Lonchura striata: one gene and its partners. The protein of the gene in region 3 interacts with the protein of the main gene of each other region in a biochemical or structural test. Links are inferred from orthologs where the notes say so. Each region holds a gene or a part of one and is shown on either strand. Other genes may lie near its edges.

The links.
Region 1: of the proteins of PTPN6 (region 3) and ROS1, one has a biochemical effect on the other in vitro, tested with the Homo sapiens proteins (2 studies listed by BioGRID and IntAct). The link is inferred for Lonchura striata from reciprocal best matches to the Homo sapiens genes PTPN6 and ROS1.
Region 2: the proteins of PTPN6 (region 3) and PDGFRB form a complex in vitro, tested with the Homo sapiens proteins (2 studies listed by BioGRID and IntAct, with this or other methods). The link is inferred for Lonchura striata from reciprocal best matches to the Homo sapiens genes PTPN6 and PDGFRB.
Region 4: the proteins of PTPN6 (region 3) and LCP2 form a complex in vitro, tested with the Homo sapiens proteins (2 studies listed by BioGRID). The link is inferred for Lonchura striata from reciprocal best matches to the Homo sapiens genes PTPN6 and LCP2.

The regions. Positions count from the first base shown.
Region 1 is NC_134605.1:65,835,863-65,843,519, reverse strand, and holds the start of ROS1 (proto-oncogene tyrosine-protein kinase ROS), read right to left. Parts: upstream 3,014-7,657; coding exon 2,891-3,013; intron 1,244-2,890; coding exon 1,190-1,243; intron 1-1,189. UniProt on the Homo sapiens protein: Receptor tyrosine kinase (RTK) that plays a role in epithelial cell differentiation and regionalization of the proximal epididymal epithelium. NELL2 is an endogenous ligand for ROS1.
Region 2 is NC_134617.1:6,433,464-6,440,956, reverse strand, and holds the start of PDGFRB (platelet-derived growth factor receptor beta), read right to left. Parts: upstream 3,019-7,493; 5' UTR 2,654-3,018; intron 1-2,653. UniProt on the Homo sapiens protein: Tyrosine-protein kinase that acts as a cell-surface receptor for homodimeric PDGFB and PDGFD and for heterodimers formed by PDGFA and PDGFB, and plays an essential role in the regulation of embryonic development, cell proliferation, survival, differentiation, chemotaxis and migration.
Region 3 is NC_134604.1:29,793,063-29,800,302, forward strand, and holds the start of PTPN6 (tyrosine-protein phosphatase non-receptor type 6), read left to right. Parts: upstream 1-4,233; 5' UTR 4,234-4,539; intron 4,540-4,713; 5' UTR 4,714-4,801; coding exon 4,802-4,815; intron 4,816-7,240. Other genes in the region: ATN1 (atrophin-1), read left to right, coding at 227-407, 958-991; C2H12orf57 (protein C10), read left to right, coding at 2,755-2,812, 2,919-3,095, 3,176-3,324. UniProt on the Homo sapiens protein: Tyrosine phosphatase enzyme that plays important roles in controlling immune signaling pathways and fundamental physiological processes such as hematopoiesis.
Region 4 is NC_134617.1:14,843,379-14,851,148, forward strand, and holds the start of LCP2 (lymphocyte cytosolic protein 2), read right to left. Parts: upstream 3,009-7,770; 5' UTR 2,810-3,008; coding exon 2,732-2,809; intron 236-2,731; coding exon 173-235; intron 1-172. UniProt on the Homo sapiens protein: Adapter protein primarily involved in signaling pathways within T-cells, as well as other immune cells such as platelets, mast cells, and natural killer (NK) cells.

The DNA of each region.
Region 1 (7,657 bases), on a different chromosome or scaffold from region 3:
ACAAAGACTTTTATGGTCCCAGCATCATAAATGGCCCAGCCTCACTAGATACCAGGTGGTGAGTGGCTGCTTGCCACTAGTCTGTGGCAAATTCTCCACCACTCTTCAAAGAATATCTGTAATCACTGATACTGAAATTGGCAGGAAAAGGCTTTCTAACACAATCAGAGCCATTAGAAAGCAGGCATTCTTCATCTGTACAGGACACACAGAAGGACACTTTATTTCTGTGTGTGTTGTGAGACTTTACAACAAGATATTTATCTACTATAATCATACCTGTAAATTGTGTTTCTTGTCTAACACATAAACATCACTTTCCTAGAACTAATTTCCATGTATCTGCCTCCTACAGGAAGTCCTGTTGGGGTTTATCAAGAGGGGTCTCTGGTGGCCAAATTCACTGAATGCTTCAATATTAAAGGTGACTTTTCCTTGAACCTTTTCTTTGGGCATAAGCTGCTGATTCTTCTTACATAATTTGCAAAAACCCCTCTGTAGTCCTCTTTATCTGTTTCTCCTATGGTTCTAACCATGCTTATCATCCTGCATGCATACCTTTACATCCTTTTATCTTTTTTTTTTGCCAGTTAGTCTTTAAACTCTATTCAGCAGCCTATTCAGGGAAGCTGAACATTTTTATTCTCTATGTTATTTATCATCACCAGCTTGAATTGCAATCTGAAATAGGAAATCAGCTAAAGTCCTCCAAGAATGCTCCTATGAAAAGCTCAGGTTAAGCCCTCATGACAGACACAACCATTTGAAGTCCTAGAGAACTCTAAATATTCAACAATTATAAGTTTTCTTACACTGAATCACTGAGAAAACTAAACTACTTAACTGAACAGAGGAAACTGAATAACACAGTCTTAATGATTTGCATGTTGGAGGCAACACTATTTTTGACTCATTGTCTCAAAAATGAGAGGTTATGCACTTTGTAGATCACAAATGTGAACATAACTCACAGCAGAGATCATCACCCTTTACACATTTTCTTTAAATAAAGAATATAGCCATGTCTCTAATAATTTGGACGAAATCTACCCACTCAAATTAGTAACATGCTAGACAGGCAACTGTGCACATTTTAATGAATTCTTTGAAAATATGATCACTGTACCCATTGTATTCAAATAGCAGGAACATAAAATGTCAGTAATTAATAAAGTAAAACATTACTCACCGCTCCAGTGATGTCACTAACATTGCAAAGGTTAGTAATTCCAAGTTCTCCTTCCTGTAGGAAAAAATATCATTTTTTAAAAGACTCAAAATATTTCCCCAGAATTCTTTGATTAAAACACACTAAGTCATTGCATTCTTGTAAACCAAATTTTCTTTGGTTGATGTTTCCTCATCTGGAGAACTTTTTTTTTAATAACTATCTTCTCACTTGATTTCCGAGATACCATCAAACAAAGACATTAGTGAAATCAGTTAGTGTTAGTCAAACTATCTGAGGTAGGAATTTGGCTCTTACCTTCCCATTCTGGTTCACTGAGTCAATAACAAATGCTTCACAAATGTGTTGGGATTAAATGACAAAGCCAAGTGGCTTTGACCTCTTGGGTGCGGAAAGACCTTCCTTCAAGCTAAATGCCTTTTGTCTGGCCACCTTTTGAAGGAGTTTTATGCAGCCATATGGTGATCACCACCACCCTTCTTCTCCTGCCAAAAGTTCTCTCCAACAAAAGTGCTTGCTTTTTCACATCATTCAAAGTGTGCAAAACCCATCACTGTCACTGAAGTGCAAATGATTTGAGGCAACCTTAGAGAAGCTGAATAGCAGCTCATAAATTTTTGACCTGAAACCAGGTAAGAGCAGTCTTAATAAAACAATTCTCAGGAAGAAATTTTCAGCAGAATGAGTACACCATGACAATAGTGAGAATCAAAGCTCTCACAATAAAATAAAATAAAATAAAATTCAAACACAACAAGTAGACCAAAGGAGAAAAATAAAATTTACAACTCTCAGAGATTATATTTTTCACATAAATGTGATTTCCCTGTCTTTCAAAGCTGAAAGGAAGAGCAGCTTATTTCTTATTCTGAGATAATTTAAACTCAAATCAAAGGATCCCCATTAAAGTTATCATTGCATGATAGGTTTCCATCAGGGAAGGCAATTAACTCTTTGACTGGTGCAAGAGCTCCAAATAGTTTTAAAGAAACTGTCAGGGACGTGTATGAAATAAAATAGAGTAGTTGATAGTTCTCTGCAGCAGGTTTCCACAATAAGCACCAAGGCACAAAATGTCTTTTTTACAAAGCAAAGATACACAGAGTGCTCTAAAACACATCAACATGTTTCTGGCAAATAGAAGCATGGAGGCAACTCCTGAAGGCAGAATAATTGTCTAGATTTCAGAGGTTTTGCTTATCTTTGTCTTGCATTCATAGAATGTATTTCACACTATTCCAAGGAATATTAAGAAAGTATAAAACTAAGGATCTGATGGCTAATTTTAATACTTACAGAATTACCCACAATTTAAACCAGGTAACTTAAAAATTAAACTTCAACTAGGTTCAGGATAGCTGTGTGTGTCACAGAAAAGATTTCTTGTGACTTTACAGTTTTCCTCGATTATATAACAAAAGACCTGGACTAGACTGAAATGAATGAGTAAAGTGAATAAACTGAAAGAATACAAGTTTATCTTCCCCACCCTCCAGGGTTGTTAGCATTTATAGTAATTACATGCAGAGTAGTGGGATTTGTTCCTTACCTGATTCCACAAATTCAAATGTTAAATATTAATTCTCAAGCTCTGCTCTTAATACATTCTTTAGGGAGAACACTGACATGTAATATGAAGTTCTTACAGTGCTAACAACAATCTGTATTTCAAAAGATTAGGTACAGGTTTTGAAAACTTACCAGGTTACTTGTACATAAGTTTTGACAGTTCCTTGAGAAAGCACAGTACACTGCAGAAATCCATAGGCAGAAAAAAGCAACAAGCCTTTTTAGACAGAAAACCCACAGGCAATTGTTCTTCATAACTTTAACAATTTCACCTGATAATCTGCCTCTTCTCTTAACTTGGCCATACAAACTCCTTTTAGTTTAGGTGACAGAAATACAACTGTGAAATTTCTGCATGTTACATCATTAAAATATTTTCTGAATCCTTGTTTACACTCCGCTCCTTCAATAACTTCTCAGCTTCCTGGAGCACTTGTCTTGAACTTATGCAACCTCTATTTTATAGTTTCTTATTAAGCCACTGAAACAAAAGAGTTGACAAATGAAAGTCAGTGTATCAACTTACACAAATATCATAAACGTAAAACGGAAACTAAGTGCAATGCCTTTAATCAGGTGCTCCAAGCCACACGGAAACAAGGAAACAGTGGGGAAAAAAAGGCCTAATGTTAATTTTGACTAGATTAAGCTATTTCTAAATATTTGTACATGGATGCAACTAAGAAAATTTGTTGGTGACGATGAATAACTTTGTTAGAATACCATTGATCATATCAGACATGGCAAAAATTTAAATTAATTATTTATTTGAATGACTGTTTCCAGATGTTCAATTTCCACATTAAAATAACACACAGAACAGACCCATGTCTGCCCTCAGATGCAACCTAGACACAAACTAACAAGACCCAATTTGCTAGGGGTTCACTAGATGAGGAGGCACTATTGTACAAGTGTGCATCCATATCATGGAAGAAAAATTAATCTGATAGATAAATTGTGTGTCTGATTTAAAGAGTGGTCAGAGTCTTACATAAAGTTGAAGACTCACATTAAAGAGGTCCATGGAAAGTCAAGCCTTAAATTTGAGTTTGATACATCCAGATTCTGGTCTGTGGTACATCTGTGCTGTACCAGCACAGATAGCCACAGAGTAATTCCCCAGTAGAAGATTAATCCAGTTTACACAGTTTACATACACACACACATATATATATATACATACATATATATATGTGTGTGTGTGTGTATGTATATATATATATATATATATATATATATATATATATATATATACACAAATGTTATGTCATTTTGTGCATGTGTGTTACTCATTACAAATCAAAGGTGCTACTTTATAAATAACACAGAATTCTGATGATCAGTTGAGGCTGGTGCATCCTGTTATTGCTGCTTAGAAAGGGTACCTGCTTTTCCACCATACCTTTCAAAGTCCCATTCACTTGCCAAAGAAACATTTCTGCAGTCATCCAATAGAACAGGCTGAGAAACTGGTTAACACTAACCCAGCAACAGCAGAGGTGAATTGGTTGGCATTAATCTGCTGGCTCAGGCTCTTGTAGAGTTCCTTGTCCTGTTCTGTCCATGCATTGAAAGGAGTAAATGCACTAAAGAAGGAGGAAAGGGGGAGGAGGAAAGCCAAGCTGGAGACAGACAGTGAATATTGGGAAGAACGTGGCTCAGTGTGGTGCAAGGAAGGAAAGGCTTTTAGGACTAGGTTCCTCCCTTATCTTCCTGTTGCCCTGGGAAGAACTGGCAGGGTCTCCTTGTGCATTATCTCAGTCTCACCACTATTCTAGGGAGCTTCCAGATGAGAGTAAGGCTCATCTTAAGTGAGATTTGCCTTCAACTAAGGGCTTCCAGCTACACAGGTGTGGGGGAATGTCATGATTTGACACGGGAAAAGAATTTTCTCAGAAGGAAGAGATCAATCCAGTCAGGGGTCAGGTTTGGATAATGACACTCGGGGTGACCAATTGAGGGTGGACACGCCTCTGAGAACACAGAGGGGTTAAAAGCAGAATTCCCAGGAGGACTCACTCTCTTTGGTTCCAGTCATTGGAGAGTGCAGACCTCCCCTGCCCAGCAGTGAGCTGGGTGGGGAGGGGAAGCCATATGGCCTGCAGAGATAGGCCAGGGGATGAAGGGTCTGGAACCAAGCTGGGCCAGCTCCTGAGGATGGAAGGGTGGAGAACGTCTGACATGTCTTTGTTCCCCCCCCACCCCACCCCACCCCAAACTAGAGGAAAGAGATAAAGAGCCTGCAGACACCTGGGAGTTTGCTGGCAGAGGAGAAGGAGGAGGCGGGGGAAGATTCCCAGCATGGGAGACAGCACAGCATCTTGGGCCGAGAGATTTCAGCCATCCGGGGTCCGGGAATTTTAACCCTTTCCTGTGAAATGAAGGCTTTGTGGAATATTGCTCCTCCTCAGTTTGAAGGAAAGGGAGACAGCCTGGGACCGCAGATGTTAGGGAAAAAAGGTTGGGGGGAGATGATGGAGTGGCTGTTGGCTGGACTCTTCTTGTTAGCCATAGAGTGAACCATTTTCTCCTCCAAGAGAGACTGCATTTTAGGGGGATGCAATGGTGAGCCAAGAAACTCCTCCAGCAACTACCAGTTCAGGAATGAACAGAGAAAAGCTGAGGAGGGTGTGAGGGGAAAATGGGGGGACTGTAGTCCCAAAATGAGACACTGGACACTGTTGGTCCTTGGCAAAGCATCCTTAAAGGAGCCCTATAAGCAGTCTCTGTCCATGCACGGTGGTGAGAGCAGTGTGGCCTGGAGAGGAGAGTGTCACACTGGCAGGTGTGTTTGGGCGGTGCCATGTGTGAAGTGGAAACACAAGAGGTGGCAGCTGTGTTTCCTGGGGGTCTGTGGTGCAAGGGAGACTCCTCTGTCCCCTGATGGACTCAGTATTATGTGGAAGGGTGAAGACTTGATTAAGGGTCTAAATGTGTCTCGCTGTGATTTATTGGAGTTGGGTAGGGGAAGGAGGAATGTTTTGAAAGGTTTTCATTTTGAATTTTGTGTGGTTTTTTTCCCCTTTATAGTAGTAGTAGTAGTAGTAGTAGTGTAATAAAGTTTTCCCCTTGTTATTAAGTTTCACAGCATTCAATTGATAGGTTACATTTTCATTGTGCCAGTGTCAAATAATGACAGGGAATTGCCACCCAATTTGCTTGTCACTTCACTCCAGGAGGATGCTGCCCCCATTCCGGCCCATGAGAAAAGCTGCTCAAAAAGGAGCTCCTTAGATCCAGCCAAAATAAGCCCGTTTAGTCTGACTGCTTAAATAAAGGTCTCTGCTAATCCAGCTCATCTTGGCTGAAGAAGTTTCATCAGAGCTCACGTGACCAGCAACACTAAAGAGGAAGCTGATGACAGGCAGATGAAAGCTGCAATTTCTTCCTGAAGCAAAGAACTTTGGCTTTGGTTAGTTAGGAGATTTAGGACTTTCAGGATTTGGTCTCCGGGACTTTTAGGTCTATACTAGTAAATTCAGTGTACCCACATCAATACCCTGGCAAGTGGCATGGGATAACCCACATCCACAGTTTAAAAATCTCTTATAATCCAAGAGAAGATAGACATAGCTGAAATACCTATGTGCAATGGCTCTTAGATTTACTATATCCCAAACTTTTTCCAGATACTATTTGTGCTAGTGCCGATGTGGATTAAAATCAGACAGAGTTCAACAATTGTTCTATGTGGCCACTCAGGATTAAGAATGCTGGTTGGTATGGATTTAAATTACTAACTTAGATGCAGTGAAGGTAAAGAAATATGCCTAAATTCAAACTTTAAAAAAATATTTTAATGGCATTTAAGTAGTCTTTTTTTATTATTATTTGTTTTGGGTTTTTTAAAGAACTGTTTGGTTGTTAGGATGTCTAGAATGTTTTTTCAGGATGTATAGGGAGAAGCACTGGGAGAAGAGAAAGACAGAATCATAGAATCAATATAGTTGGAAAAGACTTCCAAGATCACTGAGTCCAATCTTTGCACACCACCATGCCAACTAAACCATAACACTAAATGCCATGTCCACAGGTTTCTTGAATGCTTCCAGGGACAGTGACTACACCAGGTTAAGAACCAGGTTAACTCCTCATAAGGAATATAATCAAGGTGCATCTCAGTCTGAAGAAAAAGTCCACAGCACTGTAACAATAACAAAACAATATTTGGCTTTTCAGACAAGGAAATTTTGTTACTATCAAATGCACATGATGAACCCTTTGTAACTGGAAAGCTTGGCTGTTACTGATGAGGATAAGTCTTGTCAGTGAGTCTTTGCACACTCGTATAGGGGTAGTGCACACATGCCTCGCACAAATGGGCTCTAACCATTGCAGTTAGTTAATAAAATAGTAATATTAAAGACACTATTCAAACGAACTACTCAAATGGTGCAGAATTTTTTCTTAAACTTCCAACACTATTTTCCACGAGGTGTCACTGTAACATTCCATAAACTGCGACTTTCAAAGAAAAAAAAAAAAAAAAAAAAGCACTGAAATACCTCCTTTCTTGTTTACCTTCCATTGAACACATTGGGAGAACAAATAGTAACAGTCACCTGCGTCTTTAGGTTTTTAACCTGAATTTCAGGAATTCTACAAGAACAGAGCACTTATGGGCTTTGGAAGCCAAACTTTAAAAGGACTGTTTGCAATATCTGTAAACAACAAAGCATTAAGTGTAATTTTTAAGTACATCACTTCCATTACACTGCACCCTGACATGGAACTAGGGATCCAAATTTTGTGAGATATAATTTATAAACCTAGTCCTTTACATTATAGATCTACTTACAGAATATAATTTCCTTTATCTCAAAGAGCAGCACAAGGAAGATGTGCTTGCAGACCAGCAAATCTGCAAGGGAGAAGACTGAGAAAATTTCTATTAAG
Region 2 (7,493 bases), on a different chromosome or scaffold from region 3:
AGACACCGAGGCCAAAGGAACCTTGAGGACCAGCAGAGAAGTCTCTGCCTGGAGCCTCTGGCAGCAGCTGGACACTTGGCCAATGCCATATCCAGCCAATGGTCTCTTTTTGCATGGCATTACTCCCACAGCTAGAGAGCATTTCTTAATCTCAGCCTTCCTCTGGTGTTCACTGAGACAATCCTGTCTTGCTCTGCTCCTGCAGACAGGCTCGGTGCTCTCCTCTCCCTGAGAGAGTTGTTCTGAATGCCTTGGAAATCCTGTCACAGACCCATTGAAAATGAGGCTGAAAGAGATCATGGTGTCACTGTCCTGTGCCCATGTCTTCCAGCCAGAGCTTTCCCTGACGTGTGCTTTGAGACTTGTGATGCTGAAGGAACTCAGCCTTCTGTTTTAAACCTAGAGATATTCCTCCTAAAATCTCTTTTCTCTCTGTGATGCCTTTTCCTGTGCATGAAGCTGTGTGTCACCTTCCCACAACACCCAGTGACCAACGAGCCACATCAACCCCTCTCCCAGTCCTTTGCAGCTTCTTCTGGACATCTCATCATCCTCACTGCTGTCCCTGAGCCCATCCACTCCACACCTATCCCTGCTGAAGCACCTGGTGTCACTTGCTGGGGAGGACCTGCTCCATCCACCCTGCCTCTCTGAGCTGCCTCCAGCCATGCATCTTCCAGTGCATCCCTCAGGAAGAGCTTGGGTTTCCTGGCACCGTGCTGCAATCTGGTCTGTGTCCACTACAGCCACTCTGCTCGCTTCTGGACTCTGCTGGAGCTCTTGGCATCTCCTCACACACAGCTGCCCGCCCAGCTCAGTGCCACCCCAGGGTGCAGGATGTGTGCTCAGCCACCTCCCAGGTGGTTCATGCAGGGATTGCACAGGACCAAGCCCAGGCCAGAGCCCTGCAGCACACCACAAGATGTGCCCAGGACTGTGGACAATAAGCCATGGCTAACTTCTCCCAGACTGCAGTAGTGCAGCTGGCTGTGCTTGCTGCACACTGACCACGGGCACCCCGCACTCCCAGTCCTGGGCAGGGATGCAGGAGGTGATGCAGGGACAGGGACATGAGTGGCTGTTGTCTCCTGGACTGCTCCTTCTATGAGGACCCTCCATAGTCCTGAGCTGGAGGAAGGGACAGCCAGCTTTAGGAAAAGCCCTGTGCATGCTGTGACTTGGTGCTTGTCCAAAACTCCGATCCCCCCGATGCACTGACTGATTTAGAGGTGTTTCCTGGGCTCAGGGACACTGCCCAGGGTTGGTGGCTGCCACAGCAGCCAGAGCACACCCAAGCTTGGGTGACATCCCTGTCAAGAAGTGACTCCAAGCCTCATGTCAGACCCTGGCCAGGGCTGCCAAGCAGGGCAGCTGCCTGGCAGCTCCTCCTCCAAGCCAGCCTGGCCTGTGTCCTCTGCCAGGCAGAGACACGTCCTTGACACTGGCTCACTGACCACACGAAACTCACTCCTTCCCCAAGAGCATGGGAGGCACAAGCATCTTGTCCTGCAGGGTGCTGAGGGGGAATGACCCTCCCAGCCACCCCTCAATGGCCTCTGGGAAGCACTGGGTCTCAACATTGCTAATCCTTTTCATCAATGAGAGATCTTCTGAAAAGATTTGGGAATGCCAAGCCTCTGCCAGCACAGGGTGTGCACACCAGACCAACTACTTTAAGCTACTTTCCCCATGCTTTAGCATAAATCCCACTTGCTCTGGGACCAGGACGGAAAAGCACAACATCCCTTTCCACCACAAATCCTGTTTTGAATGACTCCCAGTTGGCAGGTGAATGCAGGAGCTGGATGCTCTAAGGCCACTGTGAGCACCAAAGCTCCGCAGGTCATGCTCACCCCTGTTCCTGGGCTGTCAGAGCCTCACTCCAGACCAGCTCTGCCCTGCTGGAGGCCCTCAGCTCTTGTGCTCTCAGGACAGCAGAGTAGCCACCCACATCTATGCCTAGTAGAGTTTTACCAAGCTCTGCCCTCTCCAGTATGCAGCACTCCCAGGTACAGACCCTGGGCAGGGCTTGCACATGTCCCTCTCCATGCCACAGGCACAGGAGCCCTGCCATGGCCACAGACAGAGGTGACACGGTCCCTGGAGCAGCCTGATGGCCATGGGTGTGTTTGGACAGGCTGGCAATGACAGGGGTGACACTGCTCTGCACTCACACTCCAAAGGATATCTCACTGGCATGGCGAACAGCCTCTGACCCCTGCACACCCCAGCCCTCCCACAGCCACCATCCTGCAGAGCCAGGGCTAGCCCCAATCCAGGGAGAAGCAGAGATCACCTGGGCCCTACTCCCACTGCAGTGGGGTCCCCCCTTCCTGTCCTACAGCCGCAGCATCCCCTCGCTCCTCTCAGCCATCCCCACCCAGGGGCTGGTGAGAGCTGATGCCGTGTTCCTTCCCGTGGGATGCCGGAGAATTCAGCTGCTTTCCACCAAACACCATCTCCCCAGGGCTTGGTGGGCGTTTCGGGCTGCCAACCCTTGGAGGGGAGCAGAGCCCCTTGCAGAGCAGCCGGGCCGGATCAGGGACAGGGTCCTTCGGGGCTGTACCAGGTCCAACACGACATTTCCCATCTGGAGAGCCAGAGCTGAGCAGGAGGGCGAGCCAGCCCCCGGGTGGGCGACACAAGAGCTTACCTTGAGCAGGGTCCCGCCAGCCGAGTGCCTGCGCCGCACGTCCCACCGGGAAGGCTCCGAAATTCCTCCCTCTCCTCCTCCAAACTCTCTATCTGCTGCCTGCTGAGGCTCTCCCTGCCCTCCCAGCCTTCCCCAGCTGGCAAGGCTTTTCCACTTAAAGGCGAAAGAGAGGGAAAGAAAGAAGTGGAAGGGAGGAGCGGGGGGAAAATAAAATAAAATCAAAAGGAGAGGCAAGGCTGTGCCAAGGCTGGGCTGCAGCCAAGCCCCTGCTCTGCTCCTCTAGTGCATCCGAGCAGTGCCCTGTGCCGCCCCAGCCCAGCTGGGAGGGGGCTCTGCCTCCTCGGACCCCAGCGTGGAGCAAAGCCCGGGGCCGAGGGATGTGCACGCGTGTGTGCGTGCGTGTATAAATAAAAGAGACCTCGGGAGGAGGAGAAGGGGGGAGGCTGCTTCGCCAATGAGGAGCGGAGCTCCTCCGACTTCCTCCCTCCACCCTCTGTGGGGACCCTTTGCGGAGCAGAATTTGCGATTAACGCCCGGCGGACGAGTGTGATGGGTGAAGGAAAAAAAAAAAATAAATAAAAGGAGAAGAAGCCAAAGTGGCTGCAAGGAGAGGAGAGTTCTGCTGCGGGCTGAGATGGGGCGAGCGATGAGGGCCCGGCTAACAGGGAACAAAAGGAGCCCGGAGCAGCCCGACTATCGCCTCCTTAAACCGGAGGGAAGGAGCTGCCCTCTCCCTGTGTCTGCTTTCAATTCTGGCCTTTCCCTCTGTTTTCTTTTTCTTTTATTTTCTTTCTCTTTTTTCCCCCCTCTAGCCCCCCCCCCCCCTCCCGTTTTTTCTTTTTTTTTTTTTTTTTTTTCCCCTTTCTCAGGATATGAGGGGATGTTTAGAAAATCCACTGCCCACGCCAGCAGCTGACTCATGTTTTTATTAAAGAAGGCCTGCACTGAGCTGACTCCGTGTGCTCCCCCGATGCCTCCCTGTGCTGAGCTGTGCCGGCCCCGCCGCTCCTGGCCCCTGACCCCGACTGGCCACTGCCCCTTGGGGACCACCAACGCACCCTTGCAACTCTTCTTCTTTTTGGAAAGGGGGATAAAAGGCTTTCTGCAGCTGGGATGCTGCAGCGAGGGTGGGTTTAGCTGGGGATTTGGCGCTGTTTGGGCTGCTGAGGGCACAGAGCTGGAGAGGTGGCAGGAGTGGTCACCTCAGCCATGCCATCATCTCAGATGTCCTACACCCCTGCTGCCCTGGGGGATGGAATCCACGTGATGAACCAGTTTTAAATCCTCCCAGCTTCTTAAGGAGTTCAAATCAAGTTTCTGAGAAACTTTCAGTAGGCAGAACATTATCATGTGTGCAGAGTGGATTTTTTTCAATTTTTTTTAGCACTGTAACAAGGGACAGGTTATCTTTGGATGAAAACTGCCTTTGATCCATCAGTTCTTGCCAAGATTTTCATCCTGGGGATGCTTAAGGGTGGTCAGGCATTGGAACAGGCTGCGAAGGGAAGTGGTGCAATCACCATCCCCAAAAGTGTTCAGAAATGTCTAGATGTGGCACTTGGGGACATGGCCTAGTGGTGAAGATGATCTTACAATGATCTTACAGATCTTTTTTAGCCTTAACCATTCTGTGTTTCTCTCTGATCCAAATAAGAAATAGTTCAAAACTGCACTGCTATCCTGAAAAGATACCTGCCCATCTTCCTTTAATTTTCCTTTCTAAGAATTAAAAAGCCCTCTCCATGACAACACTGCTGAAATCTGTGTTTCTGCCTTTTTTGCAAGGCAGACTCATCCCCTCCTGCCAAGCTAGTCAATGCCTGCACAATGGCCAGAGGGAATGATCCCCTGGCTGGACCAGCCCAAGAGATTTGCTGCTTACCTCACATTATCTCCATGTTTTCTTTTTATCTATCAAAAACCAAAGGGGAGGTGTTTATTCTGTGCAGCTGTGGAGTGTGAGGAGAGCCAGGCTGCAGCAGCCAGGCTATCCCTGTGTGCCACTCATGGCATGGGGCTGCTGTGCCTGGCAGCAGGACAGCTGCAGGAGGGATGCAGCCCTGGCTTGGAAGGATTCCCCCAGCTCCAGACCTGGTGGTGGCTGTGCCAGGGGCCCTGTCAGCCCCCGGGCTGAGACAAGCTGCTGTGCAGAAATGGAGGCAGCGAGCTGAGAGCAGCTCGTGTGGGGGGCAGGCAGCAGAGGGATGTGCTCTGCACATGGCTCTTCCCAGGGCTTTTCCCGAGGGACAAAGATGTGTCTGCTGGGTCCATATGTGGGGACCTAAGGGCTGCTGGGAATTGCTCAGCAGAGCTGTTTCCTGGCAGTGTCCCCGCTCCAAGGACGTGACTGTTCCAGGCAGAGTGGGAGAGGGAGAAACCCACTGCTGCAATCCTGCTGGGCCCCTTGCACTGGGGATGGGCTACCTGGGATGAGCAGGGGGTGGAAAAGATGACACAGACCATGCTTGAGGGTAGAGCATCCTGAGCCTGAAGTGGGACGTATTTCCCTCAGTCCTTTGCAAACAGATGGTCCCAATACCCACTCCAGGCTGGGTCCAGGAAGAATCTGGCAAACAAAACCTCCCAGTCTTGCAAAGGCCAGGATTCATTGTTTGGGGATGCTGAGAGAGCCCTGGGGAGCCCAAAGCATCCCGGCAAGCACACGTCAGCCCACTCTGTACATCCCCAGGGAGCATCCGCAGCCGCACATTTTGTTTAGGAACAGCACGTTGGGGTTACAGCAGCTCCTGGGAAAGGCCAGCGCAGAGGAAGCACCAAAGCCAGAGGAACTCGCCTGTGCAAGTGTGGGGGTGGAGGGCAGCAGCTCTGCTACTTCAGCATCATCAGCCCTTCATTGCTCACCTCTATTTTTGGTGTTTCGTGGTGCTGCAGGACCCAGTGGTCCCCCTGGGGCTGGGACAGCTGCAGTGTGGGATGCCAGACCCCTCTCAGCTGAGATCTCCAGCCTCAATAAGCGTTGTTAAGTGCTAATGGGGGCTTGGGGTCATGTAGTGCAGCATCTCTGGTAGGGAAATCAACCACTGAAACAGGACATTCCAGGGTATTTGGTCTGCTCTTGCATCACGTGGATAAAAGCAGCTCTCTGAACTCCTGCCCCATCCCAGGCAGAGCTGGGACCACAGAGAAAAGCCCATATCCCAAGCCTGATATAGAGGAGAGAGACCAGAGCCAGGTGACCCAAGACAATGGTGGAAACAACCATGCTGAGTCAGCAACAGGTACCATGTGCCAGCAGGTGACAGGCAGGTACAAAAGAAGCAGCAGGTGCTGGCCTACTCCACTCCTTTGAAGGTTTGATGAGGGCCAGATTTTCTCCAGCTTCAGTTTTTCAGAGCCTCTATCAGTTCCAAGTCAGCCCAGGAATTTCAGCGTTGCTCTGAAGTGGTGTGAAGCTGCAGAGCACAAGAGAGGAGTGGCGGGTGCCAGGGAGCACAGCACCACATCTGGGCAGCCCATCTGCTGTGGCAGCTGCCAGCACATGCTGCTGGCTGGATGCAGCCCCTGGGCCCTGCAGGGAGCTGCCCCGAGGCTTCATCCAGCATCTCTAAAGCTCTGCCCTGAGGAGCCTGTACCGTGTGTGTGTGTGTGTGTGTCTGTGTGTGTGTGTGTGTGTGTGGTCCTGCTTGCACTGGGTGGGTGACACCAGTGCCCAGGGAAGAAGGGGAGGCAGAAAGGGCTGGGCTTCTTCCAAAGTGAGTGCATGCCCAAGCATAACATGATGGGAAGCATCCTGTGGAGTATCCTGCAGCATTGCCCAGCACTGGGAACACTCCTGCAGCACTGGAAACCCTGGCCATGGACACCACAGGGTGCCAGCAGTGTCAGGAGGTAACACTGGGCTGTACCCATGTATTGTGCTGTGTCCTTAGGGGTGCTGGCCCGTTGCCTACATCCTCTGGGCTGGGGCACTGGGAGGAGGCAGCAGCCAAGGACGATGTTATCCTGCTGCCTTTCCCCACCTCGGGGCCTTTCCGACCCCGTCCCACGCACTCCTCCTCACCCCCGCCACGAACCTTGGTATTAAATGTGCTCGGCAGAGCCCCGGGAGGCAGCGACAGGCTCCTGGGTGAATACTAATAACGGTGCTGTCCTCTGGCCCCAGACTTTCCCACACATCTGCAGCCACTTTAATGTGGGAATTGTTAACCCTCTGCTTGCCCCGTGCCCGAAACACAGCCAAGGAGTGAAACCAGGACGCTCGCCAGCAGTGCAGGGGGAGTCACACACCCAACCCACTGAGAGCAGGGCCCACACATGCTGGGAAGCAGTGAGGGCTGGCAGCATGTGTCCCTGTCCCCAGTGCCCTCTTGAGAATTGTCAGTTTGTGGCATTTGCATTTGCCAAGAAAGCTGATCCAGATCCCAAGGAGCATCACTGAGCCCTGGATGGGGAGAGGGGAGCTGTGTGGCAGCACATCCATTTGGGCTGTCCTGGTCCATCTCTGGGGATCAGCTCTGCAGACTCTCCTCAGCTTGAGGACACAAGTGACAGCACAGGGGTGGTTCAGGCATCTGGGGAGAGCCAAAGGCCACACACGAGTCTGCAGTGGAGCTGAGGGAGATGAGGCAGGGGGCTGTCCTCTGCAAGAGGGTTGCACTGATGTCTCCATTGCCAGAGAGGAGGGGTAACTCTTGGGGCATTCAGGATTTAGGGAATGACTGAAAGCTCCTGGCTGGACTGGGATATGAGTGGGGCCATGCAGCTCTGGGATATGCTGGTCTGAAGCCACAGATTTGCCTTTGGGAGCAATAGGAGCTGGAGGGAGTGGGGAGGTGGTGGGGCAGAAGGCTGTGGGGGAAAAGGGGAGCAAGGGGAGACA
Region 3 (7,240 bases):
TTCCCAGGGACTGCTGTTCTCCAAAGGGCATCAGCAGAGTTCCGAGGGGCAGGGGCATCCTGAGGCGGCACAGGACCAGACTGAGGTCTGTTAAACAGAGCCTAGGACAGACCCACCCTGTCAGGATGAGCAGGTCCTGCACGTGGGCAGGGATGGGAGTGGGGGTGCAGCAGGGTCCTGGATGGAGCTTTAACTCGGCTCTTCTCTGTGTCACCTCTGGCTGCAGCCGCACCCTACAGGGACCTGCCGGGCTCCCTCTCTGCGCCCATGTCGGCGGCGCACCAGCTGCAGGCCATGCACGCGCAGTCGGCTGAGCTGCAGCGCCTGGCTCTGGAGCAGCAGCAGTGGCTCCACGCCCACCACCCCCTGCACGGCGTGCCGCTCCCCACGCAGGAGGACTACTACAGGTGCGTGGAGCTGCTCTCTCCTCACAAGAACACCTCCAGGCCCAGCCCTGCCATGGGGCAGGCACAGGCAGTGGGAACAGGGAAGCACTGCCCATGGAGCGGGTGACTGTGCCCAAGCCCACACCGGGAATGGGGATGCTTTGCCATGGGGCACCGCTGTGGCTGGTCACCAGGAAGATCATACTTGGCAAGTGGCTATTCAGTGGCTAGTTCCTTGTGAGATCTCAGCTCCTCCGGCTGAGGCGGGAGATAACTTTATTGTGTTTCACACGTGTTAATGCAGTTATGAGTAACTGATACCCCTGCCAAAATACAAAACATTTATAAGGGTTTGATGGTTTTGCCAAGATAAGGAATTCATGTGTGCATGGGAAGGCACACTGGGAAAGAGAGAGGTGGAATGTTGTACCTTTTCAATAGCATCTCTACTTAAAGATCTACAAAACCTCCCAGGCCAGCAGTGTTGTATGGGTCCAGATGAACAAAGACAGGGGAATGGTGTAATATTGCCTTTTTCCCTTTCACTATCACCTTGTTCTTTTTATCCTAGCCACCTGAAGAAGGAAAGTGACAAACCCCTTTAAACGGACTTCTACTGTCAGTGTGACATCATCATGTCTTTCTCTCAAGAGAAGCAATCAATCAACCAAATCCTGGGGGAAGGGAAGCTGCAAAGTGACACATCCTGATCCCACCATGCAGTAGAGTACTAGAGAAGATGACAGAAAGTATGGGATGGCATCCTGGGAAGAGTGGAGAAGAGAAATTAGGGAGGGACTGAAACACCACTAATGGACCTGAAGCGATTGGTACGTGATTTCAGCTGAGCTCTGAAGAGAATCAGCATTGCACAGAGCTCAGAAAGACAAAGCCTGACATGAATTCAGGGTGGCAGGAGCTCCATCCTTTGTTTTGGGGGAACAGTTGCATTAAATAAAAAGTGCAGAGCATTGCAGGACTTCATGTACAGGATGCTCCTGCCTTTTCTGCTTCTGCAAGGAGGAGGTGCGGCCAAGAAATAACCGCAAACACAAAAGAGCCTTTTTTCGAGATGCTTCCTCAACACCCCACCCCCCTTTAGGTGTAAGATACTGCTTAGCGATACAGAAAAACAACGTGGAACTTTTTCAGATTTAGCCAGAGCAGCTTCCCATTCTCCCAACACCCCTTCAGATGCAAACAAAGCGTTCCAGGTCCCTTCCTGAGCAGCCTCTCCTGCCTGCGGAGGGTCCGGTCCCAGCCATCGGGGTGCAAAGCACTGCAGGACTGTTTGCAGGACGGTGGCTGTGCTTTCCCCAGCTGCCGGGAACGGGCACGGCCATGAGGTGCGAAGCACCAGCAGACTGTTTTGGAGACTGCCATCAGCACCGTGACCCCTCTGAGCCCCGTGGGGAGAGCTGGCGTGGCCCAGCGGTTACACTGCGTCCTGGGACTGTCTGTAAAGATGGTGGCTGCCCCTTTCCCCTCACCCATCCTAATTGATGTACTTTAACTCATGCACATCCTATTAGACGTGGCAGTTTTATGTAGCAACTTGTGACTCCCTTGCCCCCGCGTGCGTGTTCTGATTTCACAGTTGTATCTCTCGATTGGTCCCCCATATATTATATATATTTACTTAACCATTAAAGGAGAAAACAACCAACAACCCAGCTATGGAAAAGAAAGAAAAACAACCACCCAAACGATGTTCCCCACGCACTCCCAAGCCCTGACACACATTCTAATAATTTATATATATATATAAATATATATATGAAGCTCTTAAAAAAGGAAAAAAAAAAGACAAAAAAACCCTTTCAGAAACGGGACTCTGGTGTGTTCATTTCTTTCCAGTGGGGCTAGAACGGGAACGGCAGAAGCACTCCCGGTGAAAACTGGGAGAGGCTGGAAGCGGGCACCGCCTCGGGAAAGGCGCGGCGGCGCCGCGGGGAGGGGCGGGGCGTGCGCACCGCGGGCCAATGAGAAGCGATAAATTTGCATACGGGCCGGGCGGCACGGCCGGGTCCGTTCGGCGGCGGCGGAGCCGTCGGTATCGGCGTGGAGCGGGGCGGGGGGACGGCACCCGGACGGGGGCCCACGGAGGGGCTCGCAGGAGGGAAAAGCGGACCTCGCCCTCACCTCGGGGTGGGTCGGCCGGGAGGGGCTCCTCGGTCGTGGCGGAAGGCGGGCAGTGATTTCAGCTCTTTTAGAATTTGTCCAGCAGGTTTCCCGCGCTGGCGGGAAGCCGCTCCCACCGCGGTGCAATGGCAGAACGGGGCGGGGAGGCGCAGCCGCGCTCGGGCCGCGCCGCGCCGGGGCCGCTGCTCGGTCTGGCGCCGGAGCCGCGGCCGCCCCGCCGCGCCCCATGGCGGCCTCCGCGCAGCCCCCGGTGCCGCCGGCGCTGAGCGCGGAGCAGGCGAAGGGTGAGTGCGGGAGGCTCCGTCTCCCGGGCGGGCCGGCGGCGGGGCGCCCGTGCCGCCCGGCTGGACGCGGGGGGCCGGCGGGCGGCTGAGCGCTCGCGTCTCGCAGCGGTGCTGGCCGAGGTGATCAAGGCGTTCGGGGCGCCCGAGAACGCGCAGCGCATGGAGGAGGCTCGGGACAACGCCTGCAACGACATGGGCAAGATGCTGCAGTTCCTCCTGCCCGTGGCCACCCAGATCCAGCAGGACGTGATCAAGGCCTACGGGTTCAGCAGCGACGGCGAAGGTGGGTTGTTCCCCCGCCGGGCGGGATGCTCCGGGCCCGCCGGGGCAGCGGGGCCTCCCGCCCACCCCCTTTCCTTGCAGGCGTCCTGAAGTTCGCCCGGCTGATCAAGTCCTACGAGTCGCAGGACCCGGAGATCGCCAGCATGTCCGGCAAGCTCAAGGCCATGTTCCTGCCGCCCATGACGCTGCCGCCGCACGGGGCCGGCACTGGCGGAGTTGCCGCCTCCTGAGCCCGCGGAGTTCTCCCGGTGCTCCGGCTGGTGCCCTCCTTCCAAGGTGCGGGTCCTGTCAGCGCTGGGAACGGAGCACTTGAACAAGGGAGACGCGATCCTGGAAGGAATGGGATGTTTCGTGCCCCGCTCGTGTGTCTGCTCGTGAATAAAACGTGTGTTGAAAGTGCCCGTGTTCTATGAATGGCCGTGAGCTCAGCAGTGCTGCTCCCTGCTGCAGAGGCAGGTACAGCAGTGCTCTCTGCATGACACTTGCAACGCTGTTTTGGAAGGCCCAGTATGTGCCATCTTTTGCAAAAAGGTTTGTGCAGAGCCTCAGTGTGAAGCCCGAGGATCCTATATCAGAGTGACAGGTATTAAGCACTTTACAAGGGCAAGCATTTTCAGACTTTCTGTTTGAAGCATACTGGGAAATGCGTCCCTCAACACAATCTAGTGCTGTTCAGCAAGTGTTGTAAATGCCATTGAGGCTCCTGTCCCAGCAGGGTCAGTGCTAATTTACTCCTGCCCCCAGTGCCTGTGGCTGCCTTGTTTTGTGGCTGAATGTGCAATCCAGCACATTATCCTTAGTGCAAAAGGCAGCAGAGAGCTGCAGCAGGGAGTGTCCGAGCGTAGGAGGACTGGACTTGCCCCATTTTGCTGCAGCCTGGATTAGAACAACATAAACAACATACAATTTTTATCTCACGTTTTTTCTTGGACTGCAGAGGGATCAACCTAGTGGTGCAGCCTTGCTCCTTTGCAATATTTTCTTTCCAGTGTGGTTCAGAGGGACACCAAGGATGTCCGCTTGTAGCCTCCTGCCCTTTGTCCCTGTTGCCATTGGAAGAATTGAGTTATTTGGCGACAGAAGGGGGGAGAAAAGGGCTGAGCGTGAAGGAGCCAGGCCTGGGAGAGCAGGGAGCCAGGTGTGAGCGAGCTGCGTTCTGTGCTCCCGGTTACAAACCGGGCAGGAATGCAGCCAGCGAGGGCGTGAGCTCAGTGGATGGGAGGCAGGAAGAGCAGTCGGTCCCTTCCGTCTCCATCTACCTCTCCGAGCTTGGCCTTGGCCTTCCCCCACCCCTCTGATTATTCATTAACTACAGTCCAGGAAGTGCTTTGCAAATGGTGAGAATTAAGCCCGCGGCTTGAGGCCTGAGGTTTGCCTGACCTGGAGCTATCAGTCCGCCTGGGAGCGGGCGGAGTTCGGGGTTCGCCGGTGCGCGCCGGGCTCAGGTGAGTCACGGGAGGTGCTGCAGCCGCAAGCAGCGCCGGCTGCTGCTCAGCGCCCCGGCACTCACCGCCATGAGCATCCAGGCCACCTCTCCCCTAGCAAGGTCTTTGATCTCTCCCCCAAGTCCCTTTCAAGATCTTTTCTTGGTAATTCCAATATTGCTTTATTTTCTTTAGTGGGACCCACTTGGTTGAGGGCTGTGGTACTTCCTCCACCAGCTCCTGTCAGTCCTCCATCAGTGGGGATCTGAGAGACAAGACCCTGATGCCATCCCGTGGGTGAGTGCTGTGAATGCTAGTTAGGGCAAGAAAACAAGAGTTGCTGGTGAGAAAAATAAAAATAGCAGCAGTAGGAATCAGACACAAAAGGGAAAACCCCACAGTTTTTAATAGGAGCTGTCTATTAGAGGTAGCCAGAGGGCTGACTCCTCTGGTAGAGGTAGCCAGAGGATTGGAGCTTGCTGTGCTTTACATTTTTCCTGTTGCTCCTTCTCCCTTTGATAATGAGCAAACAGGGTTTGTGATGCCCAGTCTGCTGCAGTTCCTCTGCCACCCTGCAGCATCTCTGAATGGTTTTGCAGAGAGAGATGTCAACTGCCTGGCCTTTAAAATACTAGTCACTCTTTTATTTGCTGCAGTCTATCTAGCCCTTTATGGAACAAAAAGCAGGACATACAATCCTCACAGTCGGTCCAAACAGGTACCTTGCTCTGGAGGCTGCTGTGGAAGGGTGTCAGGAAATGGGATTTGCACTGGCATGGCTCTCTGGTAAGAATTTGGGTAACCACAGTGGTCTAGCACTGTGCTGGAGCCCCAAGGCCTGATGGAGAGCATGTGGCTTTGGCAAGTCACAAGAAGATGGTCCATCTGCCCGTCCCCAGGCAGCCTGTGCTCTGCACTAATGCCTGAATTACAGCAGACTTCCGTACAGAACAGCAAAACCTCCTGTCTGAAATCATCTCCATAACACATGCAATGCTCATTCTCAAAAAGGGCTCCAAATTAGCTCCCCCAAAATGTGAGGGAAGCATGGAACAATAAAGTTATTATCTGAGCAAAGGATGCACAGTATAATGGGGAAAGCAATGAATATGATAATAAAGAAAACACCAGCATCTGCTTTTGTAAAGGCAGATATGGTCCTGTAAAACTGGAGGGTTTTGAGGGACTTAGCAAGCTTGTGGTCTGGCCAGTACAGTTTGCTTGGATTTAAAGAATTTGACAAGATTTTCTCATCAAAGTCTTCAAATAAGGCTGAAATCACAACATTAAAAAAAGAAGGTGAAGGTTTTCCTGGGTAAAGATTTATTAGAGAATAGTAAATGGAAGGTGGGAATTAATATCCCATTTTTATAGCAAACGGAAGTCATCACTGGTCAGATCACAGGGGTCTTATCTGAAATACATGCTGTTCAGTATATTCCCAAGTTGCCTGGGAATACAGCTTGGTGAGGTGAGAAAATTGGATGATGATAGAAAGTTATTGAGGATAACAGGGTGGGAGTTGACTTGTGAATAATTTCAGAAAGACCTAATGATTGAGTGGGCAGTAGAACAGGAGATGAAAAGGCTTATGTAAAACAATGTTCATACAGAAAAATAATAGAAAAATTGCATATGCAACAATGACTGTGAACTAATGATAACCTCTCCTTGATTATAGAACTCCATGCAATTGTTAGCTTAGTGCTTGGTTATAGTGAACATCAGAAATCATCACTGTCCATGATTCACCAGCATTTTGGACACCACAGCTCTGTGCCCACTTTCACTCTTACCTCCAAATCAAAATGCCAGAATTGGAAATATCTCTGAGAGGGACAGCAAAGGTGGTCAGAGGTATAGAATAGTTCTCTACAAAAAGAAACCCCTTAGTAGGCCTGGAGTCTTCATCCTGGCAAAGAGTTGAGGATGGATACAGATGTTTCGGGTCTGTTACCATGAGCAGCTTGGAGCAGGGGGTGAGAAACAGGAATCGCCCAGATTTTTCTTTCTTTACAGCAACCAGGTGTTAAAAAAGAGGCAGGGAGCAGGTTATAAGCAAGTCAAAGGAGGGGGTGTTTCTGTAACTGAGCAATAGAGCTCTTTGCCAAAGGGCACAAAATTTGTTGTGCATTTGACAGTTGACTACAAGTAGCTGCTAACAGAGGCTTAGGAAGTAGGAGGGCAAAAGAAACTCTGTGCACAGTCTTTCTCTCTGCTCTTCCTTTGACAACCATTTTGACCTCTGGATTGCCTAGTCCCAGCCCTGCAGCTCCAAAACTAGCTCAGGTGGCTCAGGGCCTGAATGCTGACAGTGGCCAGGGTGGAGGTTCCTCAGCTGCTCTGGGGACCTGTGGCAAGTGCTGAACCCCCCTGGGGCGGAGCACATGTGCAGTTTCTCCTGATACCTAAGCAGAATTTCCCTTGCTGCAAGTGATGCCTGTTGCCTCTTGTCTTTATGTTGTGTCCCACAAAACAGAACCTGACTCAGCATCTCTAAACCCCCACGTTCCCTTTTAGGTAGTCTCAGAGAAGTGTTAAAGCCCTCCTTAAACATTTTTTCTTCAAGCTGAATAAACCCAGCTTGCTCTCTGCTATGCTCCAGGCTCTTCACTGCATTAGTGGCATTATGCTGGATCCTTTCCAGTTTCTCAGGGCCTTTTTTTTCTTGTAGAATCCAGATGTGTGTCTTTTAATTAGCTATTTCATTTATCTTCTGCTT
Region 4 (7,770 bases), on a different chromosome or scaffold from region 3:
GCATTGCATATTTAAAGCAAGTTGTCTGGCTAATTTTAGCAAAAGCATTTACCTCCCATATTTATACCTCAGTAACCACCTGGAAGGTGGCTCTCCATCTGCAAAATAAGGAGGAGTCTCAAACATCACTTAGTTGGAATTTTACAGGAAGGAATTTTACAGCTCCACTTACCAAAAACCTTTGTCCATTTATGCTGTGCTTCCTCACGACTTTCTCACAGTCCTTATACTTTAGCTGTCAATGAGAAGAAGATGATTGTTGCACCCTTAACTCTAAGAATTAATTAAGACAACATATGTTTGGCTTTGAGTAGATACCTTTTTGTATGCTATGGCCCACCTAAATGGCTCATTTTGTCCCATAAACAAAGATTTTTATGACAGACATCCTTCAGTGACTTAAAGGCTTTCATCCATTTAGGAACATGTTATTCCTCACACTTAGAAACCACCTCACAGCTGCCTGGCCCAAAGAAATATTTGAAAAATGGATTATTGTGGTACTGACTGGGATGAGCAGCTGCAGAAGTAAAGCAAAAACCTGATTATCCAGGAATACTAAAGCTGACTGATCCCAGTCACAGAATTCATTGTTGTGATCAAAAAGCTTTCACTTCTGGATAGAAATCTCACTTGTTAATCCTGGAAATTATCTATAATATTTGTAAAGCTTTTCCACAGTATTATGACTTCCAGTAGCATTTAGGACAAGGATATGCTCTTTAGAAGCTGCTCATGTACAGGTTGAGCACAAAGCAAGGCATGACTTTTAAACATTAAACAGTTGTCCTAAATTTGGTTTTGATTGGGGTTTTTTTGGTCTTTTTTGGTTGGTTTTGTTTGTTTGCTTGTTTTGGGTTTTTGTTTGGGTTTTTTGTTGTTGTTGTTGGGTTTTGTTTGATTGATTGATTTTTGTTTTGGGATTTATTTTTTTTTTTAATTTGAACTGTAATAGTACAGTGTAAGAACACAATTTATAGCTTAGATCTGTTTCAAGTTGGTCAGGTCCCTATCAGAAGGAGCCCAAAGAGCAGACAAAGAAACTTTTGGAGGCTCTGAGACAAAAGAATGACTTTTATTCTGTCTGAAACTTCAGTGGTGAAAGTTCTGCAAACGACCCTGTGCTGCTGGGACAGCTCCCCTACAGCAGAGGTTTCCCAGGGAGCTTCATGTGCTTTGTAGCCCTATCCCAGTTTTCATTTTAAGGTGTAACTTTGTAACTTCGGGTACGGATCCTGGAAACAACCGAACAGCAGAGAGGATATTTTTAGGAGCTACCTTCAGTTATTCATATGAAAAAACTCTGGTAAATATTTTAGGATACAGATTAAAACTTCAGTGCAGACTGAAGACTTAAACCTGTATATAATTTCTTTCCTACAGTGAACGCTATTGTGATGTTACCAGCACAAGTCTGTATGCAGAGGGAAGCAACACATCCCTGTGATTGAGACCTAATCTCAATCTTGAAGTAATTGATTTAAAAATGCTCTTTAGGTATTAAAAACAAACCTTGGAATATCCCAAATATGAACATCTTTGCTTTTTCTAAACCAAAAAAAAAAATCAGAAATTATTTGAAAATTTGGTTCATTCATCCTTTATCTCAGAGATAATATCTCTGAGTTTATATAGATCTCTGAGTATAGAATATTCTCAGAGTTTATCTCAGGGATAAGCTCTGTTCACTTGTGACAGTAGCCCAGAGCCACCTGACTTGGGCTGACATTCTTGTCTCACCCAGATTTTTTAGATTACTTAAACAGCTTTTGTCCTGATTTAGCTCCCAAGAGTGGAATGCCAGTATCTCCATTCTGGATCTTGATCCATAGAAGGGAGGCACTGCAGATAAATGTGCATTCAGTGATGGTAGAACTTACAGTTGATCCTTTTGTCACTGTTCAGGATATTACTATCAGATCTTTCAGAAAGCCGTTTTTTGCCTTCCTAATTTCTTGGAAATGGTGGTCCAACTTTGCTCTGCACTGCTGTTGTAATGTTTTTCGTACTTGTCTGAAGTTGCCTGTTGATAATGATCTCATCTATTCCATCTCCAGTTTTTGGTTTCACTTTCCTGTGCCACTAACTCCTGCACCCTAAAATTAGGGGCTTGTAAGTAGTTGGCAGTTTCACTTCTCTGGAGATTTGGTAGACACAGTTTCTATGTTTGATCTGCTTATCTTTATTAAGTAGTTCTGCATTCCACTATCAAACTTTCCTCACCTCCCTAGATAAGACTCTCACAGTTATAGGAGCCATTGAAAAAACAAAAATAAACTTCACATTATTTCAAAATTAAGCCCGAGGTGTGCCAAGTTTTATAAGTCTAGCCAGGGATGCGATTAACAAAGACATTCAGAGGCTCATTTGTTACACCCAGCAATTTGGAAAAAAATATCACTTCTGAAAATGATTGAAGATTAAACAGAAAACTTGTAATCTTCACACCTTAGTGCCTTCCGCAGCTGTTAACGTGTGTTACACCAACAAGCATTGTACTAACCTGTTCCCTTGCTCTAAGTAAGCCATGAGTTTCTCTTAAACCCAATTTAAAAATCCCTTTCAAGATTCATTTTCGCTGACCAGTTGAGCTCAGCTTCTCATTTGACAGCGGTTTTGCTTTTAGTTCTGCAGCAAGCTTTGCCCATTACAAAAGATCTGAATTTAGCCCTACCAACGTTCCAGCAGTTTGCTCCTCCATCAGATGAAGACAAACCAGGGCCAAACTCACCGTCCTGAAATATTCTGCTAAGTCCTCTGGGTCCCAGGTGAGCACGTCGGAGCGGTAGGGGACGTTCCGCAGGTCCATGGTTGGTGTCCCCCGAGGCTCAGGGAGCGTTCACAGCCCTGCTGCCAGCGACACTGCCATGGGCTCCCTCTCTGTGGCCACCTCCAAGGAATTTCTTGCCCAACCTCCAGCTCCTTCTGTCAAGGAACTGCTCTGGTCAATTGAAATGATGCTGTGAGTTCGTTCCAGAGAGACACTGCTTCCTCTGGTACAAAATGGTCTCTACTCCGAGAAGTTTCAGCTAGTCAGCCTTACCACTTCCTTTCTCTGAATATAAATAAGTAAACAAGGAAGCACAGCAGAGGGTTGAAAATGCTCTGCCTGCTACACAGAAATAAATGCCTATGGACCCTAATTGCTTTTAATTGCATTACTCACATTATACATGCATAAAAATATTGTAATATTATTTGCATAGGTGTGGGTTACTCTTCTGGTAAGGCCCCACTAAGAAGAAAACATTGACTTAAGAGAAACTGCTTTAATTTACCTCAGTACCTGAAATATCCTTATTTGTACAATTAAAGGTTATTGTCAGAGCTGCACATAATGGGGAAATAATGAATTAATGATGGAATTGCAGTCAATATCCCTTCAAATAAAGAATCACTCAGTGAAACTAAAAAATGTACAAGTTTAGATGAAAAATTATTATGTTGCCATTGTATCAATAGTTCATTTTTTGGCTACTTCTTATGAGGATTTGGTATCTGAAAATGAACCCACAAAACCATATTATTACCACAGGGATGTGATAAATTTTCATCTGTCCTGCACAACCAATTCAGGCACCCTCCTATCAGTAGGTGCCTTTGCTGAGATTACATAGAGTAATTCCAAGTGTGTCCTTTTCAAAAAGAGCCAGCATGTCCATTCTCCCTTCTCGTGGAACTTGTGCTGTGCTGCTGTGAATCCTTGGCCTCACTCCTCCATTAGACTGCACAAAATTTCTGAGTTTCCTGGACTGGTAAGAATAGGTGCATAGTTCTGAAGCGCTGGGGAGGAAATTTCCTCTTCATTTTATGGAGAAATGAAATGCATCCCTCTTGTCTCCAGTCACTGACAGCCTCCTAGCCTCATGTCTGCAGGTGTGTTGCACACGAGTGCATGTATTTGAGATCAAACCTACCAGTCTTCACTGTAAGAGTTTTCCTTTTGAAGTTCAGAGTCTGATTTAGAGTAGCTTACTTTTTTTCCTGTAGAAATTCTGGTAAATGATGGCAGCATGGTATTTAAAACGCTCTGGAATTAAACTGCTGTCAGAGCTGTTCTAAGAAGAGTAGCATTTATCAAATACATGCTACAGCTGTGTTTTCTGGGTTCTTACTTGAAATTACCTATGTGAATCATCTGAGGCAGGTCCTGACAATATCACAGAAATATTATCACCTCTAGGTCTGGGGATGAAATAGGACTGAAGGAGCTGGTGCCAAAGAATCCCCAAAGGAAAAGTTGCTTTGCTGGTGCATTGTCAGCAGTGGTAAAGGGGAGGTTACATAACTACACCTCAGACATCCCATCACAGCCCCTGGATCTCTCAGGGAAACAAGCAGGAAGGCAGGGAGAAGCCTGTGTTAAATTCCTAATTGCTTATTCTCAGATGTGTCTCATTACCCTCTAATCTGGTTTCTATCCCAAACCCAGTGTAGCAGATCTAATTGCAATTGTGTTACTCCTTATTTGTACTAATATGAAATTAATTAGTCTGGTCAAAATTTATGCTGGTGGTGTTATAAGGAGAATTACAGCATCATTTATTCTGATGCTGAGAAAGGAGGAAAGCAGTTACCTCTGAAGGCAATCTCCCAGCATCAAGAGCAGCTAACACAGAAATTCTAACACATGTATCTATTATTATTTGTTTGCATCCTGTCTGTGGCACTGTGTGCATCATAGCTAAGTGCAGATTTCATGCATTTCTTGCAAAACCCAGCTGCACACGAATGTGAGCTCTGTCTTTCTCTACAGCTTCTTTTGTAACATCATAAGCACATCAGATGTGGTGTCTCAGTAAGGCTTGCTGAGGAAACACCACTTTGTATTTTCTATATATGAATTTTCAGATATACTCCTACAGCAGCTGGCAATCTCATGAGATGGATTTTAAGCTCTTGGATTTTCAAAAGCTAAGGAACACTGCTATTATCGGGAGCATATTTTTTTATTAAGATTTTTTTCCCCTCTTTTTAAAAACACTAAGTGTTTCATAGGTATTTTATAGCCTGCAGTGACACAACCTTCACACCAAAAAAAGCGTCCCCTCAATAACAGCTGCCAATGGTAAGACTTTTCTGATGCAGTGCTGGTCTGGTGACTGATGATTGAAAATGTGAGACTCAAACCATTTTAAGCAACACAGGGGGGAAATTCACACTGCCGACATTCTGCTGCCTTCAAAGGGCAGCAACATTTTCCATTTTCTCTCACCTCTCTCTGGTGGTCTTCTGTCTCTGTTTTAAGTGGAGTCAAGGGCTTTGAACCACTTTCAGAAGGGTTTACTTTTCTAGAGTAACTCAGGTTACTCCATATCCCTAGAGCCAAAAAAAAAAGTTCAAACCTTGTGAGAATTTAATCTTCACGTTCATCACATCCCAAAGAAAGTGGATCTTTATGAAGTGGTTTTCTTTTGTCCTGCCCACATTTGTTTTAAAAAGACTGGGGTAGATCCTTCCTTTTACCCTGGAATGTTTACCCTAGACATCCTAGAGCTGCCCTTTACCATGGCATGCCCAGTGCCCAGGCTGTGTCACCTACCTGTAACTGTGAGAGGCTGAAGTGTCAGCGTTAATTTGGTGCTTTGCTGGGGCCAGATTGAAGGGAAGGAGAGGTTTTGGATGTGTGGTGGACAAACCTCTGATCCTAAGAACAACCCTGGTGCAGAGGGGGTTCAGATATTTTCTGAAATTTTAGATATTTTCATCACCCACCTTGGGAGGATGAGCACAACAATCTGACCTTTGCTTAGCAGTGAGCTGGGGTCAGAGCCAGATAAGGGAGATAAGGGAAGCAGACCCTGTGAGGTGGGATAATGCTTTTTACCACATCAATGTCCTCCCTTACACACCTGGCTCAGGTGTAAGTTAAACTCCTCCTGGAGAAAGTATCAGGATATTCACATTCACACCTAGGCCAATTTGAAAAAGCAATTTGTAGAAATGGAACTTCCAGGCTTCCTCCCCAGCCAGCCCCACTCTGGTGACTGCCAGTGCCAGAGATGGACCCTGAATATGAGACTTTAATGGGAGCAGCACCTGAGGTAAATGTTAACCAACCTCCCTGCCTCTGGAATGTATGGCTTGAATAAAACTGTCTGAGACACTGGCTTCAAATCCAATTTCATACAAAGCAAATGAAAAAAAAGTGTTCTCTATAGGAACTCAATCCTCAGCAAAGACTTTCCTGGATGGAAACAAAACATGCACACTTGAAGCATCTTTTCCCGTGTCAGTGAATTGTGTTACTCTGAGCAGGTGTCAAGATGGAGTTTAGGCAATTCCGAAAGGCCTGAAATCCTAAAATACAGCCACTGTAGAGTGCAGCTGGATTCTATCCAGAAACCAAAGAGAATCAAATATCTACTAAAGTCCTGTAAAAAATAAGGCAAATACTTAGAGATATTCTAGCAAGAGCAGTTTGCTCAGGAATATGTTTTGTTCCACTCTGTTTGGGTCATAAGTGGCATTATGTGTCTGGTTTGTCCAGAAATGCTGCAAACAAATGCAGAGAACACTTAGGGGACCTCAACAGAGCTGTCTGTCAAGGAAAGACTGAAAAAAATGCTTGCTAAGTCTGAGAAAGGGAAGCTGGAGATGAGGGAAGGAAAAAAGAAAATAAACTTTGTGACAACTAGCAGTCAGTTGTTCCCATGAGCTGTGAAGGGCTCTGCTAACAAGAAAAGCTGCTGCAATCTTGAGAAGGAGGAACTGGGGACTGAAGAACTGCTCCAGTGTTTGTGCTGCTCAGTGCAGCTCAGCAGCTCAGTTCAGGAGCTGCCAAGCAGGGTCAGCTGTCCTGTGACACAGAAGGGGCCAAAAGGACACCTGGAACTGTTCTGCTTTGGACATGACCCTCCTGAACTAACAGTGCCTTCCAGGGACAGAACTGCCAGTGAACACCACTTTTGTACCTGAGGTCACCAGTTTGATGGAGACATTGGAGCTTAAGTTAAAGCATGTTAAACACACACCCTTTAGTCTGGCTAACTGCTCAAACCCTTTCCCCCTGTGCTCACAATTTCTTCCCCAGCTCCAGCCCAGGGGCAGCTGCCAACACCTCGGCTCTGCAAGGCTCCAGTTACCCCCAGGATTTTTTTTCCACCAGCCCAGCTCCCTTTTGCCATCCCAGCTCCTGCTCTGGTTCCCACCCCAGCCCTGTTCCTGTCCCCACTGCAGGATTGGGCTGTGCTGGGGAACTCCCACCTCCACTGGAAACCTGAGTCTGTGGGAGCTGCTGAAGCCTGAGGAATTCTCATTCAGTGCTTCCATGGCAGCCTTTCCATTTGCTTGGCCTTCTTTTGGGTTTTGGTAGGGGATTTGGGGGTTTTGGGGTTTTTTTCTTGGTACAGGTTTATTTTAAAAAACTCAAAAATGTTCTCTTTTGTCAGAACAAAAGTTTTTTGTTTCATTTAAGGTTTTTAAACAGCAGTATTTCAAATATATCCAACTATTCTGACAGCTAAAGATATGATAATTAACTCAATCCATTTTGCTACTTTAATCAAATGAACTATTGACACCCATAAAGCAGCATATTGGCTCTGACATTGTTTCTAAGCAATCTCCGTTTATTCAGTCAGGCAGTTGTTTTCTAACCTAAACAAAGCTACTTTGTAGCTTCAATTCTATAGAAACTTGCAGAGTTTATATTGTAAACTGGTTGCCAATGTGGGATTTTGGTCATTGTTGCAGTTCCAATGTTCCTGTCCATTCACAAACTTGGAACTGGATTCTGATCCTAACAGATTTCCAATTCTCTACATATTT